2 linked regions of the Stegostoma tigrinum genome follow. The protein of the gene in region 2 interacts with the protein of the main gene of each other region in a pairwise test. Links are inferred from orthologs where the notes say so. Each region holds a gene or a part of one and is shown on either strand. Other genes may lie near its edges. The genes, in order: lats2 and rassf1.

Region 1 (7,854 bases), on a different chromosome or scaffold from region 2:
TCCCCCTCTCACTGTCGAAGTTATGCGGATTGGAGCCAATGGAAGGCCACCCGAACCGACAACCCGCATTCCGCAGTCAGGAGAAAATATATTTCAAGATAACAAAGTGTGGAGCTGGATGAACACAGCAGGCCAAGCAGCATCTTAGGAGCACAAAAGCTGACGTTTCGGGCCTAGACCCTTCATCAGAGAGGGGGATGGGGAGAGGGTTCTGGAATAAATAGGGAGAGAAGGGGAGGTGGACCGAAGATGGAGAGAAAAGAAGATAGGTGGGGAGGGGATAGGTCAGTCCAGGCAAGACGGACAGGTGAAGGAGGTTGGATGAGGTACTAGGTAGGAAATGGAGGTGCGGCTTGAGGTGGGAGGAAGGGATGGGTGAGAGGAAGAACAGGTTAGGGAGGCAGAGACAGGCTGGACTGATTTTGGGATGCAGTTGGGGGAGGGGATGAGCTGGTCTGGTTGTGTGGTGCAGTGGGGGGAGGGGACAAACTGGGCTGGTTTTGGGATGTGGTGGGGGAAACGGGAGATTTTGAAGCTGGTGAAGTCCACATTGATACCATTGGGCTGCAGAGTTCCCAAGTGGAATATGAGTTGCTGTTCCTGCAACCTTTGGGTGGCATCCTGGTGGCACTGCAGGAGGCCCATGATGGACATGTCATCTGAAGAATGGGAGGGGGAATTAAAATGGTTCGTGACTGGGAGGTGCAGTTGTTTATTGCGAACCGAGCAGAGGTGTTCTGCAAAGCGGTCCCCAAGCCTCTGCTTGGTTTCCCCAATGTTGGGGCAGCCACACCGAGTACAATGGATACAGTATACCACATTGGCAGATGTGCAGGTGAACCTCTGCTTAATGTGGAAAGTCATCTTGGGGCCTGGGATGGGGGTGAGGGAGGAGGTGTGGGGCAAGTGTAGCAATTCCTGCAGTTGCAGGGGAAATGCCGGGTGTGGTGGGGTTGGAGGGGCAGAGTGGAGCGAACAAGGGAGTCACGGAGAGAGCGGTCTCTCCGGAAGGCAGACGAGGGTGGGGATGGAAAAATGTGTTGGGTGGTGGGGTCGGCTTGTAGATGGCGGAAGTGTCGGAGGATGATGCGTCGTATCCGGAGGTTGGTGGGGTGGTGTGTGAGAACGAGGGGGATCCTCTTAGGGCGGTTGTGGCAGGGACGGGGTGTGAGGGATGTATTGTGGGAAATGCGGGAGACGCAGTCAAGGGCGTTCTCGACCACTGCGGGGGGCAAGTTGCAGTCCTTGAAGAACTTGGACATCTGGGATGTGCGGGAGTGGAATGCCTCATCCTGCGAGCAGATGCGGCGGACGCGGAGGAACTGGGAATAGGGGATGGAATTTTTGCAGGAGGGTGGGTGGGAGGAGATGTATTCTAGGTAGCTGTGGGAGTTGGTGGGCTTGAAATGGACATCAGTTACTAGCTGGTTGCCTGAGATGGAGACTGAGAGGTCCAGGAAGTTGAGGGATGTGTTGAAGATGGCCCAGGTGAACTTGAGGTTGGGGTGGAAGGTGTTGGTGAAGTGGATGAACTGTTCGAGTTCCTCTGGGGAGCAAGAGGCGGCGCCGATACAGTCATCAATGTACCGGAGGAAGAGGTGGGGTTTGGGGCCTGTGTAGGTGCGGAAGAGAGACTGTTCCACGTAACCTACAAAGAGGCTCGCATAGCTGGGGCCCATGGCCACCCCCTTGGTCTGTAGGAAGTGGGAGGAATCGAAAGAGAAGTTGTTGAGGGTGAGGACTAGTTCGGCGAGGGGGACTGATCGGGCCTGCGTGACAGGAAGAAGCGGAGGGCCTTGAGGCCATCTGCATGAGGAATACAGGTGTATAGGGACTGGACTTCCATGGTGAAAGAGAGGTGTTGGGGGCCAGGGAATTGGAAGTCCTGGAGGAGGTGGAGGGCATGGGTGGTGTCACAGACGTAGGTAGGGAATTCCTGGACCGAAGGGGAGAAAATGGAGTCCAGATAGGTGGAGATGAGTTCGGTGAGGCAGCAACAGGCTGAGACAATGGGTCGACCAGGGCAGGCAGGTTTGTGGATTTTGGGAAGGAGATAGAAACGGGCCGTGCAGGTTTGGGGAACAATGAGGTTGGAGGCTGTGGGTGGGAGGGACTGCAACTTTCCCCCCGCAGTGCCACAAGGATGCCACCCAAAGTTTGCAGGAACAGCAACTCATATTCCACTTGGGAACCCTGCAGCCCAATGGTATCAATGTGGACTTCACCAGCTTCAAAACCTCCCCTTCCCCCACCGCATCCCAAAACCAGCCCAGTTTGTCTCCTCCCCCCGCTGCATCACACAACCAGCCCAGCTCATCCCCTCCCCCAACTGCATCCCAAAACCAGCCCAGCCTGTCTCTGCCTCCCTAATCTGTTCTTCCTCTCACCCATCCCTTCCTCCCATCTCAAGCCGCAACTCCATTTCCTACCTACTAACCCCATCCCACCTCCTTAACCTGTCCGTCTTCCCTGGACTGACCTATCCCCTCCCTACCTATATTCTCCTCTCCACCTATCTTCTTTTCTCTCCATCTTCGGTCCGCCTCCCCCTCTTTCCCCATTTATTCCAGAACCCTCTCCCCATCCCCCTCTCTGATGAAGTGTCTCGGCCCGAAACATCAGCTTTTGTGCTCCTAAAATGCTGCTTGGCCTGCTGTGTTCATCCAGCTCCACACTTTGTAATCTTGGATTTTCCAGCATCTGCAGTTCCTATTATCTCTGAAAATATATTTCAATCGGTCAGCATCGTGGACGTTAAAAACCCGTCTCACAAAATGACTAATACCAACAAATGTCACAGAAAAGGCATGCCATAAACACGGTCAGTCTTATAAATTATCAGCAAGCATCACACGGTAATGGGGTGAGAGGGGTCGAGGCCCAAAACGTCAGCTTTCCTGCTCCTCTGATGCTGCTTGGCCTGCTGTGTTCATTCAGCTCTACACCTTGTTATCATAATGATATTTAAGGAAATTAAGTCTCACAGAATCTAATTTTCTACAGTAACAGAAGTTGATGTAAAATCTGGGCCTTTAAATGTTATACATAAGCTAGACACAAGTTAAATACGATAATGCAATTCCAAAACTAAAATAGTCAATCTTATGCTTTTCCTTACTTTCGCCATTTAGTTGAGTTGGTTTTCCCAAGGGTTTAATTTTATTCTTTTGTGTTTGTCCGTTCGTTTGAGAGAAGCCTGTACGAGAGTTCTCAACTGTGATGGAAATCTATTTTCTCCTCACCCATCCCAACGCCACAGTATGTGGGCGGAGCTTCCGAACTTCCTGATTGACAGTTACGCGTCGCATTGTTTTCATTCCATCTCAGTCACGTGGCCGCGCGCGCCCGCGTGCGTCGCTGCGCTGGCATTCGACGAGGAGGCGGGGCGGAGGTTTGGTCGTGGAATTTGGTATCCGATTACTCAATACCGAGCTGAACTTTAGGCCTGTGGTGCCCTTGAACCCACATCTAAATGTCAACGAAATCTAACTAGAACTTGTGGTGTTCAACGTAATAGCATTCAAAAGCAAACTGAACACTATTTCTCGGAACAAAAAGAGTTTATTATGACTATTCGGCTAGTGCTGGTTCTTGCAAAGATGTATGTAATTTCACTTTCCTGCTCTTTTTAACATGCCGTGCGTTTCCCTGAAGTTTTAAAAGCATTTTTTGCAATTTCCTTTTGAAAGTCACCATTGAATCAAGTTCCACCAGCCTTTCCGTAGCTGGTTTGATGATCAAAGTCATACCATCCACACAGTGCGGAAAAGGCCGTTTGGCCCAATCGAGACTGCGCTGACCCTCCAAGCCCGCACCCTATCGCTGTAACCCCGCATTTACTGTGGTCAACGCATCCACCCAATCTGCACATTTTTGGGCTGTGCGAGGAAACCCATTGCAGACACAGTAGAAGTAGGATTTTTTTCAGAATAGAATTTTTCAGAAATTTCTGAAGAATTCACCCGAAACGTCAGCTTTCCCGCTCCCCTGATACTGCCCGACCTAAGCTAATTTTTCAAATTGCCCTGGATCCAATGGGTTCTTAACTTCTTAACTAATCTGGCAAACAATATGTAATAAAAATCCTTACTAAAGATACAGATGATACAAGGTGGTTGTAAACAGCATGATAACATCACTGCAGTGGTCAAATTGACAGGAAAATGGCAAATGGAATTCAGTCAAAAGCAGCGTGCATTTGAGCTGCCTAATCAAGATAAGAGAATACATAAGAGATTACAGTGGAAGATACTTTGAACATCCCACTAATACCAAAAAGCGTGGGAGAAGAACTAAGTACCATTGCTAGTGAAGTAGGATTAGACAAAGTAATGGGGCTAAAGGCAGATGTGTTCCCAGCCCTAATGGCTAGCAAAATAATATCCAAAAAGAAGTAGCTATCTCTAATTCTGATGAAGGGTCTAGGCCTGAAACGTCAGCTTTTGTGCTCCTGAGATGCTGCTGGGCCTGCTGTGTTCATCCAGCCTCACATTTTATTATCCTAGCTATCTAGATAGTTTCTCGTCCTCTGTTTCTGCCACTGTATTTCTCATCTTCTATGGTATCATCCTCTGTTTCTGCCACTCTGTTTCTGATCCTCTGCTTCTCACCCTCTGTTTCTGTCACTGTTTTTCATCCTCTGTTTCGCCTCATGTTTCTCATTCTCTGTTTCTGCTGCTGTGTTACTTACTCCTTGTTTCTGCCTCTGTTTCTCATCCTTTCGTTCTGCCATTGTGTTTTCATGCTTTCTCTCTCATCTTCTGTTTCTGCCACTCAGTTTCTCATGCTCTGTTTCTACCACTGTTTCTGATCTTCTGTTTCTCATCCTCTGTTTCTGCGATTGTGTTTCTCATACTTTGTTTCTCTGCATCCGTTTCATTCTCTTTTTTTCTCGTCATCTGTTTCCATCACCACTATTATCATGCTTTGTTTCTCATCTTCTATTTCTTGGCCTCTGTTTCTGCCACTCTGTTTCTCATCCACTGTGTCTCTTCATGAGTTTCTCATTTTATGTTTCTGCCACTCCGTTTCTCATCCTCTGTTTCTGATCCTCTGTTTGTTGACTCAAAAACTTCCAGACCCCGCAAGAGTTCCATTAACTTCTTTATTTTAGCTTAGCCAGCGAGAGCTCCGGAGTCAATACCAGAGTAACAGTCAAGCTCTCACTGGTGGACTCTCGTCAGACCTCTATGCATAGCATAAAAGTAGTACAATTTATAGCCCTCACGTGTGTGATTAACATACATATTTCACTATCCGACATGACTAAATGTTATCACATCCCATACTGTTCACATGCGTCATAAGCAGATAAGTAGTGCAGTTAACACTGTTACATTGAATAGAGGAAGCAGCCCCAGCCGTGGGAGAACAGCTGCAACCTTCAGGTTGTTACAAACACAGGCACACATTCCAAAATTTATGGTAAATCGTTATTTCAGCAAAACTTCTAATTATTGCTTCCCCAATACTTTATCATGTTTCTCATCCTCTGTCTCTGCCACTCTGTTTCTCACCAATGTTTATATTGCTGTTTATGCCACAGCGTTTCTCATCCTCTGTTTCTCATCTTCTATTTCTCGGCCTCTGTTTCTGTCACTCTGTTTCCCATCTTTTGTGTCTCATCGTCTGTTTTACCGCCTTTGTTTCTGCTGCTGTTTCTCATTCCCTAATTCTGCCACTCTGTTTCTCATACTCTGTTTCACCCCATCTGTTTCTCATCCTCTGTTTCTCCTCATGTGTTTCTTGTTTTCTGTTTTCCCACTCTCTGTTTCTGGCGCTCTGTTTCTCGTCCTCTGTTTTGCATTCTCTGTTTCTGCCAGTCTGTTTCTCATCCTTTGTTCCAGCCCATCTGTTTCTCATGATCTGTTTCTCATCCTCTGTTTCTCCTCGTGTTTCTTATTTTATGTTTTTCCACTCTGTTTCTCATCCTCTGTTTCTCATCCTCCGTTTCTGCCACTCTTATTGCCATCTTTTGTTTCTGCACGTCTATTTCTGTGTGTCTGTTTGTCATCCAGTGTTTCTCATCCTCTTTTTTCACCCTCTGTTTCTGCTCAAGTGTTTCTCATCCTCTGCTTCTCAAACAGTGTTTCTCGTCCTCTGTTTCCCAACCTTGTTTCTCATCCTCTGTGTCTGGCCCACTGTTTCTCTTCCTCTGTTTCGCATCCTTTGTTTCTGTCCCTCTGTTCCTGCCCCTGTGTTACTCATCTTCTGTTTTCACTCATGTGTTTGTATTCCGTTGTTTCCCATCCTCTGCTTCTGTTTCTCTTTCTCTGATTCTGCACCGGGATTTAATCATCTGTTTGTATCCCTCTGTCTCTCATCCTCTGCGACCCTCTCTTTCTGCCCCACTACTTATGCCCTTTCATTTCTGCCCCTCTGTTTTTCTTCCTCTGTTTCTCTTGCTCTGTTCCTCATCATTGTTTGCCAAACTCTGCTTCCCAACCTCTCATTCTCATCCTCTGTTTCTCTTCCTCTGTTTCTGTCCCCTCCTTCTGGCTGGCTACATTTGCCCACCTGTTTCTCCTCTTCTGTTTCTCAACCTCTGTTTCTCATGCACTGTTTCTGCCTCTCTGCATCTTGTCCTCTGCTTCTCATCCTCTGTTACTGTCCCTCTGTTTTTGCCCACCTGTTTTTTATCCACTGTTTCTCATCCTCTGATTCTCTTTCTCTGGTTCTCTTCCTCTGTTTCTCATGCTCTGTTTTTGCCCCTCTGTTTCTGCCCCTCTGTTTCTGCCTCTCTGCTTCTAATCCTCTGTTTCTCCTCCTTGGGTTTTAATCATCTGTTTCCCAAACTCTTTCTCATCCTCTGTTTCTGTCCCTCTGTTCCTAATCCCCTGTTTCTCATTCTCTAATTCTCATCCTCAGTTTATTTCTCACTGTTCCAACAGCTTTGTCTCTTCTCCTCTGATTCTCATTGTCTATTTCTCTCTCTCTTTCTGTCCCTCTTTTTCTCATTCTTTGTTTCTCATTCTCTGTTTCTGTGCTTCTGTTTCGGGCCTGTTGTTTCCATTCTCTGTTTCTCATCCTCAGTTTCTGCCTTTCTGTTTCACCCCATTTGTCTCTACTCCTGGTTCTCATTCTCTCTTTTTCACCCTCTGATTCTCACGTTCTGTTTCTCATCCTTTGATGAAAAGCCCTGCTTCGGCACCTCTCAATCTCATCGATTGTCTCTCATTCTCTCTTTCTGCCCCTCTATTTCTCATTCTCTTTTTCCCATTCTTTGCTTCTGACTTTTGTTTCTGTCCTTCTATTTCTGCTCTGTTGCTCTCATTCTGGGTTTCTCATTCTCAGTTTCTGCCCTTTTCAGTCCCTGTTTCTCTTCCTCTCTTTCTCATTCTCTGCGTCTCACCCTCTGATTCTCATTTCTTGTTTCTCATCCTCTGTTTCTGCCACTCAGTTTCTCTTGCTCTGTCTTCCCTCCTCTGTTTCTGCAAATTTGTTTCTGATTCTCTGTTTCCGCCCCATTTCCCACCCTCTGCTTCTGCCACTCTAATTCCCGTCCTTTGTTTCTGCACATCTCTTTCTGACCGTCTGTTTATCATCCTGCGTTTCTCATCCTGTGTTCGTCATCCTCTTTTTCTCTCCCTCTGTTTCTGCCAGTGTTTCTCATCCTCTGCTTCTCAAACTGTGTTTCTCCTCCTCTTTCTCATCGTATTTTTCATCCTCTGCTATTCTCCCTCTGTTTCTGACCCACTATTTCTCTTCCTCTGTTTCTGCACCTCTGATTCTCTTTCTCTGCTTCTCTTCCATGGTTTCTGCATCTCTGTTGCTGCCCACCTGTTTCTGCCTTTCTGCTTCTCATCCTGTTTGTCATCCTGGGTTTTCATCATCTGTTTGTCCTCCTCTGTCTCT
Region 2 (7,724 bases):
GTTTGGGCATAGTTTTGATTGATTGATTTGATTTATTGTCACGTGTACCTAAGTACAGTGAAAAGCTTTGTTTGCGAGCAGCATAGGCAGATCATAGTAAACTAGGAAATACAGATCATCAGGTGAAAAACTTCTTGGACACAGTAAGGCACATAGGTTACATTGCACAGAATGTGTGCGAGGCAAGATCACCAGTACCAAGATAGGAAAAAATTGAAGTTAGAGATGCCATTCATCAGTCAAATAACAGCAAGGAAGAAGCTATTCTTGAATCTGCTGGTGCATGTGTTCAAGAATTCATATTTTCTACCTGATGGAAGAGGATGTAGGAGAGCATTACCTGGATGGGAAGGGTCTTTGATGATGTTGGCAGCCTTTCTGCACCTACAAAACATGTAAATAGAGTCCATGGTTGGAAGGTTGACTTCTGTGATGGTCTGGGCTGCGCACACCACTTTCTGTAGTTTCTTACGGTTCTAGGCAGAGCAGTTGCCACACCAGGCCGTTATGCACCCGGACAGTACACTTTCAATGGCGCAGATATAGAGGTTAGTGAGGGTCCTCATGGACAAGCCAAATTTTCTCAGCTGCCTGAGGAAGAAGAGGCGTTGTTGTGCCTTCTTGACCATTGCATCACATGGGAAGTGCAGGACAGATTGTTGGTTATTGTCACTCCGAGGAACCTGACGTTCTGGACCCTCTCAATCTCCACACCATTGACGTAAATGGGGGCATGCTACCCTCCTTTCTTTCTGAAGTCGATGATCAATTATTTAGTTTTGCGGACACTGAGAGAGAGAGAGAGAGAGAGAGAGAGAGATGTTGTAACCATTGCACCATGTCACCAAACCCTCTATCTCTTTTCTGTATTCTGACTTATCATCGTTTGATATCTATCTTAACACAATGGTATCATTAGCAAACTTGTAGATGGTGTTCATTCGGAATTTGGCAAAAAGTCATGGGTGTATAGGGAATACAGTAGGGGGCTGAGGATGCATCCTCAGGGGCGTTGGGGGGGGGGGTGTTGCTCCAGTGTTAAGTGTTATTGTGGAGGAAGTGCAGTTGTCTATATTCACTGATTGCGGTCTGTGGGTCAGAAAGCTGAGGATCCAATTGCAGAGCGCAGAGCTTGAGGGGAGTCTTGAGGGGATAATGGTGTTGAAGGCAGAGCTGTAGGGGTCTGACATAGCTGTCCTTGTTGTCTACATGTTCCAGGGATGAGTGCAGGGCTAGGGAAATGGCACCTGCTCTGGACCTGTTATGTCAATAGGCAAATTGCAGGGAATCGAGGTGAGCTGGGAGACTCAAGTTAATGTGGGCTTTGACCAGCTTGTCGAAGCACTTCATGATTATTGAGGTCAGAACCCCACTGGGCGGTAGTCTTTAAGGCACGTTGCATGTGCTTTCTTAGGTACAGGGCTGATGGTGGTCTTCTTGAAAGTAGGAGCTTTGGCTTGAAGGAGGGAGAGGCTGAAACTGGAGGTGAAATCATCCACCAGCTGGTCCGGACATGACCTAAATGCACGGCCAGGGACTCCATCAGGGCCTATCGCTTTCCTTGAGTTGACTATTGGGAAGACTGATCTGAGGTCTGCAGTGCTGACAGAGCGAACAGGTGTGTCCGGGGCTGGTGACACCATGCTGCTGGTATTCTGCTTGAACACAGCATAGAAAGCTTTGAGTGTATCAGGGAGGGATGTGCCTTTGTCAGCTATCTTGTAAGTAGCTAACCATAATGGGCATGTCATAATCAGATTATGAAGTCTCCTCATGCTTAACCCTTGCAATTGAGTTGGTTGGGAAAGCGGAGGGGGCACTTGTATGTAGCCTCTTCAAACCTAACACTGCTGCCTCACAACACCCAGGGACTTGGGTTCAATTCCAGCTTTAGGTGACTGTCTGAGTGGAATTTGTATGTTCTTCCCAATTCTGCATGGGTTTCTGCCAGTTGCTCTAGTTTCCTCCCACAGTCCAAAGCTGTGCATTGTAGGTAGTCTGGCCATGCTAAATTGCCCACAGTGTCCAGGGATGTGCAGGTTTACGTGGGTTAGCCATGGAAATTAGGCAGTTACAGGGATAGGGTGGGGGACTGAGTCTGGGTGGGATGTTCTTCAGAGGATCAGTGCAGGTTTGATGGGCTGAGTGGCCTCCTTCCACACTGTTGGGATTCTATCATTTTAATGTCATGTGGTGGATTGATTTACATTGGCAAGTTTGTGGCTACTTCATAAATTAGATCGTCATTCATGAGGGGATACATAACTAGTTTGTAGAGTTGAAGTTGGGTGTGGACTAGTTAATTGATTAATGGATCAAATTTAATATAGAAGCCAACTGGTGCATCTATTTACTATCTTGTTTGATGGGCTTGCTATTACATTGCTATGATATAATAGTGGAAAATGAAATGTATAGCATTCAAATATAACATTTTTCTTTGGCTAAAGTATTTTTCAAGACCCACTTGCTGATGTAACAAATGCACTCATGTCTTTTTTGAGCTGCTGGAATATTCAATGACCTTCTGTTCTGAGGCAACATAAAAGTATCATTTTTTTGGAGTTCCATCTGCCCTGTGCAACTCTATAGCATGCAAATAGGTGGTGCACCCTGAAATCCATTCAGCCCGTGGCCTATCAGCAAAGACAAAGTGCAAGAGTGAGTAACTGTAAACTTTCCTGCATCATTCTCACTCCACTTCGTTGTGTATTTTATATCTCTCTGGTCTACACCAAGACGACACACCAGCTTCAATATTTAATAGGTTTTATTGACAGTGTTTCAAAATGGCTGCTCTGTGCTTCAGCTCTGGCTCCCAACTCTTTCCACAGCTTTTCTCAGAGTCTACATCCAAGCTTACCGATTGAGTACAAAGATCAGCTATTGTAAACCGATTAACATAAAGAAACGCAGGACAATTGAACACTAAAGTGAATCCTGACAACAAGCTAGAAAGATGCAAGTATCCCTACCTCAGCCATTTTTGGAATCCTTAGCTGTCATATATGGAGTCGCAGGTAGACAGGGTAGTGAAGAAGCCATGTGGCATGCTTGCCTTCATTGGCCAGAACGTTGATGTTGGAGTTGGGATTTCATGTTGCAGTTAAACAGAACATTTGTGAAGCCACTTTTAGAATACTGTGTACAATTTTGGTTGCTCTCCTATAAGAAGAATGTTGTTAAATTTGAAAGTGTGCAGAAAGGTTTACGAGGATATGACCGTTTTTTCTGTAGAAGGGTCTAGGCCTGAAACATCAGCTCCTCTGATGCTGCTTGGCCTGGTTCATGCAGCTGTACGCCTTTTTATCTCACATTTAAGAGGCATCCAGGTTGGTATATGAATATGAGGAGTTTACAGGGAGTATGGGCTGGCATATATGCTGGCAAATGGGACTAGATCAGATTGGGCGTCTGGTTGGCGTGAATGAGTTGGGGTGAAAAGTCTGTTTCTGTGCTGTGTGACTATGATTCTATATCGATCCAGCAATTAATTTTCAGCTTTTACGGTTCCCATGTCTTTAAACGGTGAGATATCACCCCCAGGAGACGCCAGACAGTGATGGGCTGATTGCTTTTCAGTCCTAAGCGTACCGTTGGGAGTGATGGTCACTCTGAGACGGCACTCAATGAGATGAAATAGTGATGGACACCACACTTGGGACAAGGTGAGTGGGCCTGGAGATCATGCAGATAGGCCATATTGAGAGGGGGGTCTAGTGAATTGGTGAGAATTGCAAAATCCAGTCCCCAAAATCAAGCCTTATAAATGTACAGGTGATGAAAATGAGGCAGATCACCGTTATCCCTATCTTAAAAAGTCGTTGAATCCTGGGCAACTTAGCTCCACCGATAATGTGGTGATGACTTGCAATAACGTCCAAAGGTAAAAGTATTTTTCCTCACTACAGGAAACTGTGTATACCCACTATCCCCATTCTCATCACTTTATATAGCCTAGATTCCAAATTGCTGCCTGTGAGTTTAGGAGCCCAAAATCTTGACTCCTGAACCCAGTGGGAGTGGCAACTCCTTGTTTGGGAAGTCCTGCCGTGGACTAAATCACAATAAAACATAGTGATCCCAACACCAGTCTTTTCATCTCTGGTTTCTTAAAACCCGCCAGTGATGCACTTTTTTTCTGATGAAGGGTCTAGACCCAAAACGTCAGCTTCTGTGCTCCTGAGATGCTGCTTGGCCTGCTGTGTTCATCCAGCTCCACACTTTGGTTATGAGTGATGCACTTCAATATAGGTAAGCAACTGCTCCGAAACGTTATTACACATTCTAGAGGTTGAACCTGCGTGGTCCAGCTCGGGGACAGAGGAAGGATAACACTTATAAAAGGAGAGTGAGTTTACGTTTAATCTGATAACGCTAGCCAGCACACCCACTTAACTGTTGCTCGCCCACTGCCCCTAAAACTGAGGATGGTTCTGAACACGCACAGAGTGTTCCATCAAACCCCAGCGGCCAGCCACGGGGAAAGAGAAAAAAAAATCCTTTTCCAGCGAACAGCTGTGATCTGAATATTCTCACAAAAAAACATAAACAGCAGCCCCTCCCACTACGTTCTTCATCCACTCGATTCAGTCACAGTTTAACTTTAGAGGGTTACAATCAATCTCCTCCCCCACTCCACACGCACACAAACACACAGCTCGCTTCACGTTTAAAACTAACGGGTTGCTGTATTTCGTTGGCTGATGGGCGGATCCTGACACTGAGCTGAAGCTGTGCTCGGAGTTAGGGGTTGAGTTAGACATTTATTAGCCGCAGGGGAGGAGCCGATCCTGGGGTGGAATTTTAACCCGGACCAGGACTAATCAACTTGTCTCAGCCCCTCCTGGCTTCAGTTGCGGTTCTTTTGCTCGGGAGACCCGAACGAATATAAACATGTTGACTGAAATGTTTTCTTATCGAAGGCGTTTTGGATCATTTAATTCTAATGCCTGTCGCTGAGTTTGAGACTGAGTTTCCCCGTGCAGTATAAACTTTTCTCTTCGCCTCCCCATGGCGGAGCTGATCGAGCTGCGGGACCTGAGAGAGGACACGCTGAGTCCCGGCAGCACCCGCTCGGTGTACCGCTCGTCCGGTTTGGAGAGGACCAACGCCATGAGGATCAGCCCCAGGAGCCGGGCTTCCAGCGTCCAGGACATGGGTAAGGCGGCCAGACAAGAGCGCAAGAGCCGGCAGCGGCTGCTGGTGGTGGACCAGGAGCCGAGACTGACCGAGAGACTGGGGGAAGGACACGATTTCAACCCTTGCACCCAGACACAGCCCAGCTGGTGTGACCTGTGCGGCGACTTCATCTGGGGTCTGTACAAACAAAGTCTGCAGTGCGCAAGTAAGTTTCTCACACACGCAATTATCTTGTTTTACAAACATGCATTTAAAAAAAACACGAATTGATCTGAAATAAGTAAGAAACAGAAAACGTATGTGTCACAGTGACACTGGTAAGGGACAAAAACAGAAGTTGCTGGAAAAGCTGAGCAGGTCTGGCAGCATCTGTGGAGAGAAATCAGACTTGACGTTTCAAGTCAAGGGACCCTTCCGCGGTTTTTATCATTACTAAGAAGGCGACTTATAACGCTGGGGTGTGACTATCACTTAGGGGAATACAGCTTGGAAATCAATTTTAAAACTGCGGAAAAGATTTCCAGTGCATGTTAAATGGGTTGTATGCATTTTCTTACTTTTATGTCATGATTTAGTGTATTGTCCATCATACTAAACATATTCTATTTAACTCAATGTATACATTATACTATCAAACTCAGTATTTTCTCCATACTACTAACCTCTTTGCTGTATGCTGTCATATTTACAGAATATAAATACACGCTATCACACGATGTGCTATTGTATACTGTACAGGATTCTGTGTTTGGTATCAGGCTATATATGGTAATAGATTCCCTTCAAGGCTTCCTCAATCTTCCAAGTATTCAGATTAACGAAAGGAACTAGCTTTACAAGATCAAGCCAGAAAAGAGTGTGTTTGAAATGCACTACAAATGCATTGTAAACCTTCCAGTTAGACTGTCAACACTGAATAGGTGGAAAAGGTGCCGAAATTGATGAAAACGACATGAAAGAGGCCATTGTCATCATAACTAAGTACTTTGGAACTTATTTAAGTTGTTGCTAAACTCTTGATGTAATTATGCAAGAACACAATAGAAAAACCTCCCTGCATTGCAAGCGTCGCTTTGTGTCATCCCAGAGTGATGCCCATTGTCACACAGTGACACATCTTCACTGCGGGCCCTGTTGGCAATGAAGCTGGCCGATTATCAGAATGTGAAATCTCCCCAAGCCTGGCTTGCTGTGTTTTATATTTGTGTTCAGCTTTGGTTCAAGAGCATGCTGTGATTCAGAATTTTTTTTACCAGTGGGCAGTAAGCAGTGACCATCTTTGCCTGCAAGCTATGCTCACCGGGGGTTTTAAAGCAAATGGTCAGAAAATTGTAGACAACCTCTGACAGTGTTGAAGCTGGTGGCCAGGACTGTCCACTGGAAAGTACTTGTCAAAGGAAGAAAGGATATGTAGTTATATGGTGTCTTTCGCAAACTCCGGATATCCCAAAAGACTGCAGCCAGTGATGTATTTTTGTACTGTCATCTCTGTTGTAATGTTTTCAGCAGATTTTGGCGTATGACTATGTTTCTTGGCTTAATATTAGATATATCCTTTTTAGTTAGATAGAGTTGTAAGTAATTAAAATCTTCTGAAATGTGAATGTTCAGTTTCTTTCTGTAACTGAGTGCAAAGCAGCTACATCTACCTGCATGGTTGGGAATATTAACCAGCTCCCAGTCAGCAGCTGATAGCGTGCCAGAGGACATCAATGGTGTGAAAAACTGACGTCTCCTCCTGACAAGTAGGAGATACTTTTATGACCAAGAAGTGGATTTGAGGTACAGATTAACCATGATATAATTGATATAGAACACTGAAGGGATTGAATGGCCTGATATAATTCTTAGGTTTAACCTACTGGTGTGAGACCACACTGGGAACTTTCAGCACATAGAAAGTTCATCCCAGTGAGAATTGTCACCTTTCATGGTTGATTTTTGACCAATTCATGTACAAACTTGTGCTGGGTCAATTCTCCCTGCCTCGCTGAGTCTGCAGGCTATGTAGTTTGCACCAGCAGTGTTCCTGTATCATTGACTATATCTCTACTGATGTTAGACAGCTCCTGCACTGCTGAACTCTTCCACACCATGTGGAATCCTAGACGTTCTTCTTCACCTGAGGCAGTCCCTCAGGATAAGCATGATTTCACTTCCACTCTGCTTTGACGGTTTAGAAGATAGCTGAGAAGTCCAGTACACATCACAGTAGAGTAGCCCAGCAGGAGTGTGCTGGGTCCATAACCCAGAGGTTGATGGAACAAAACCATCCTCTGCTATTTACATTAACAAAGTGGTGCTTGTTCTGTAAGTTGTAGCATCTAGTTTAGGGCGGGACGGTGACTCAGTGGTTAGCACTGCTGCCTCACAGCGCCAGGGACCCGGGATTGATTCCAACCTCGGACAACTATCTGTGTGGAGTTTGCACGTTCTCCCTGTGTCTGCGTGGGTTTCCTCTGGGTGCTCCGGTTTTCTCCCACAATCCTAAGATGTGCAGAGTAGGTGGTTTGGCTATTCTAAATTGCCTGTAGTACCCAGGGGTATTTAGGTTAGGTGGATTAGACAAGGGAAATGTAGGA

Evidence for each region.
Region 1: the proteins of rassf1 (region 2) and lats2 come close enough for resonance energy transfer, tested with the Homo sapiens proteins (2 studies listed by BioGRID). The link is inferred for Stegostoma tigrinum from reciprocal best matches to the Homo sapiens genes RASSF1 and LATS2.

The regions. Positions count from the first base shown.
Region 1 is NC_081359.1:73,335,032-73,342,885, forward strand, and holds the start of lats2 (serine/threonine-protein kinase LATS2), read right to left. Parts: upstream 3,273-7,854; 5' UTR 3,128-3,272; coding exon of another isoform or gene 3,119-3,127; intron 19-3,118; exon of another isoform or gene 1-18. UniProt on the Homo sapiens protein: Negative regulator of YAP1 in the Hippo signaling pathway that plays a pivotal role in organ size control and tumor suppression by restricting proliferation and promoting apoptosis.
Region 2 is NC_081364.1:59,255,024-59,262,747, forward strand, and holds the start of rassf1 (ras association domain-containing protein 1), read left to right. Parts: upstream 1-4,679; 5' UTR 4,680-5,013; coding exon 5,014-5,347; intron 5,348-7,724. UniProt on the Homo sapiens protein: Potential tumor suppressor. Required for death receptor-dependent apoptosis. Mediates activation of STK3/MST2 and STK4/MST1 during Fas-induced apoptosis by preventing their dephosphorylation.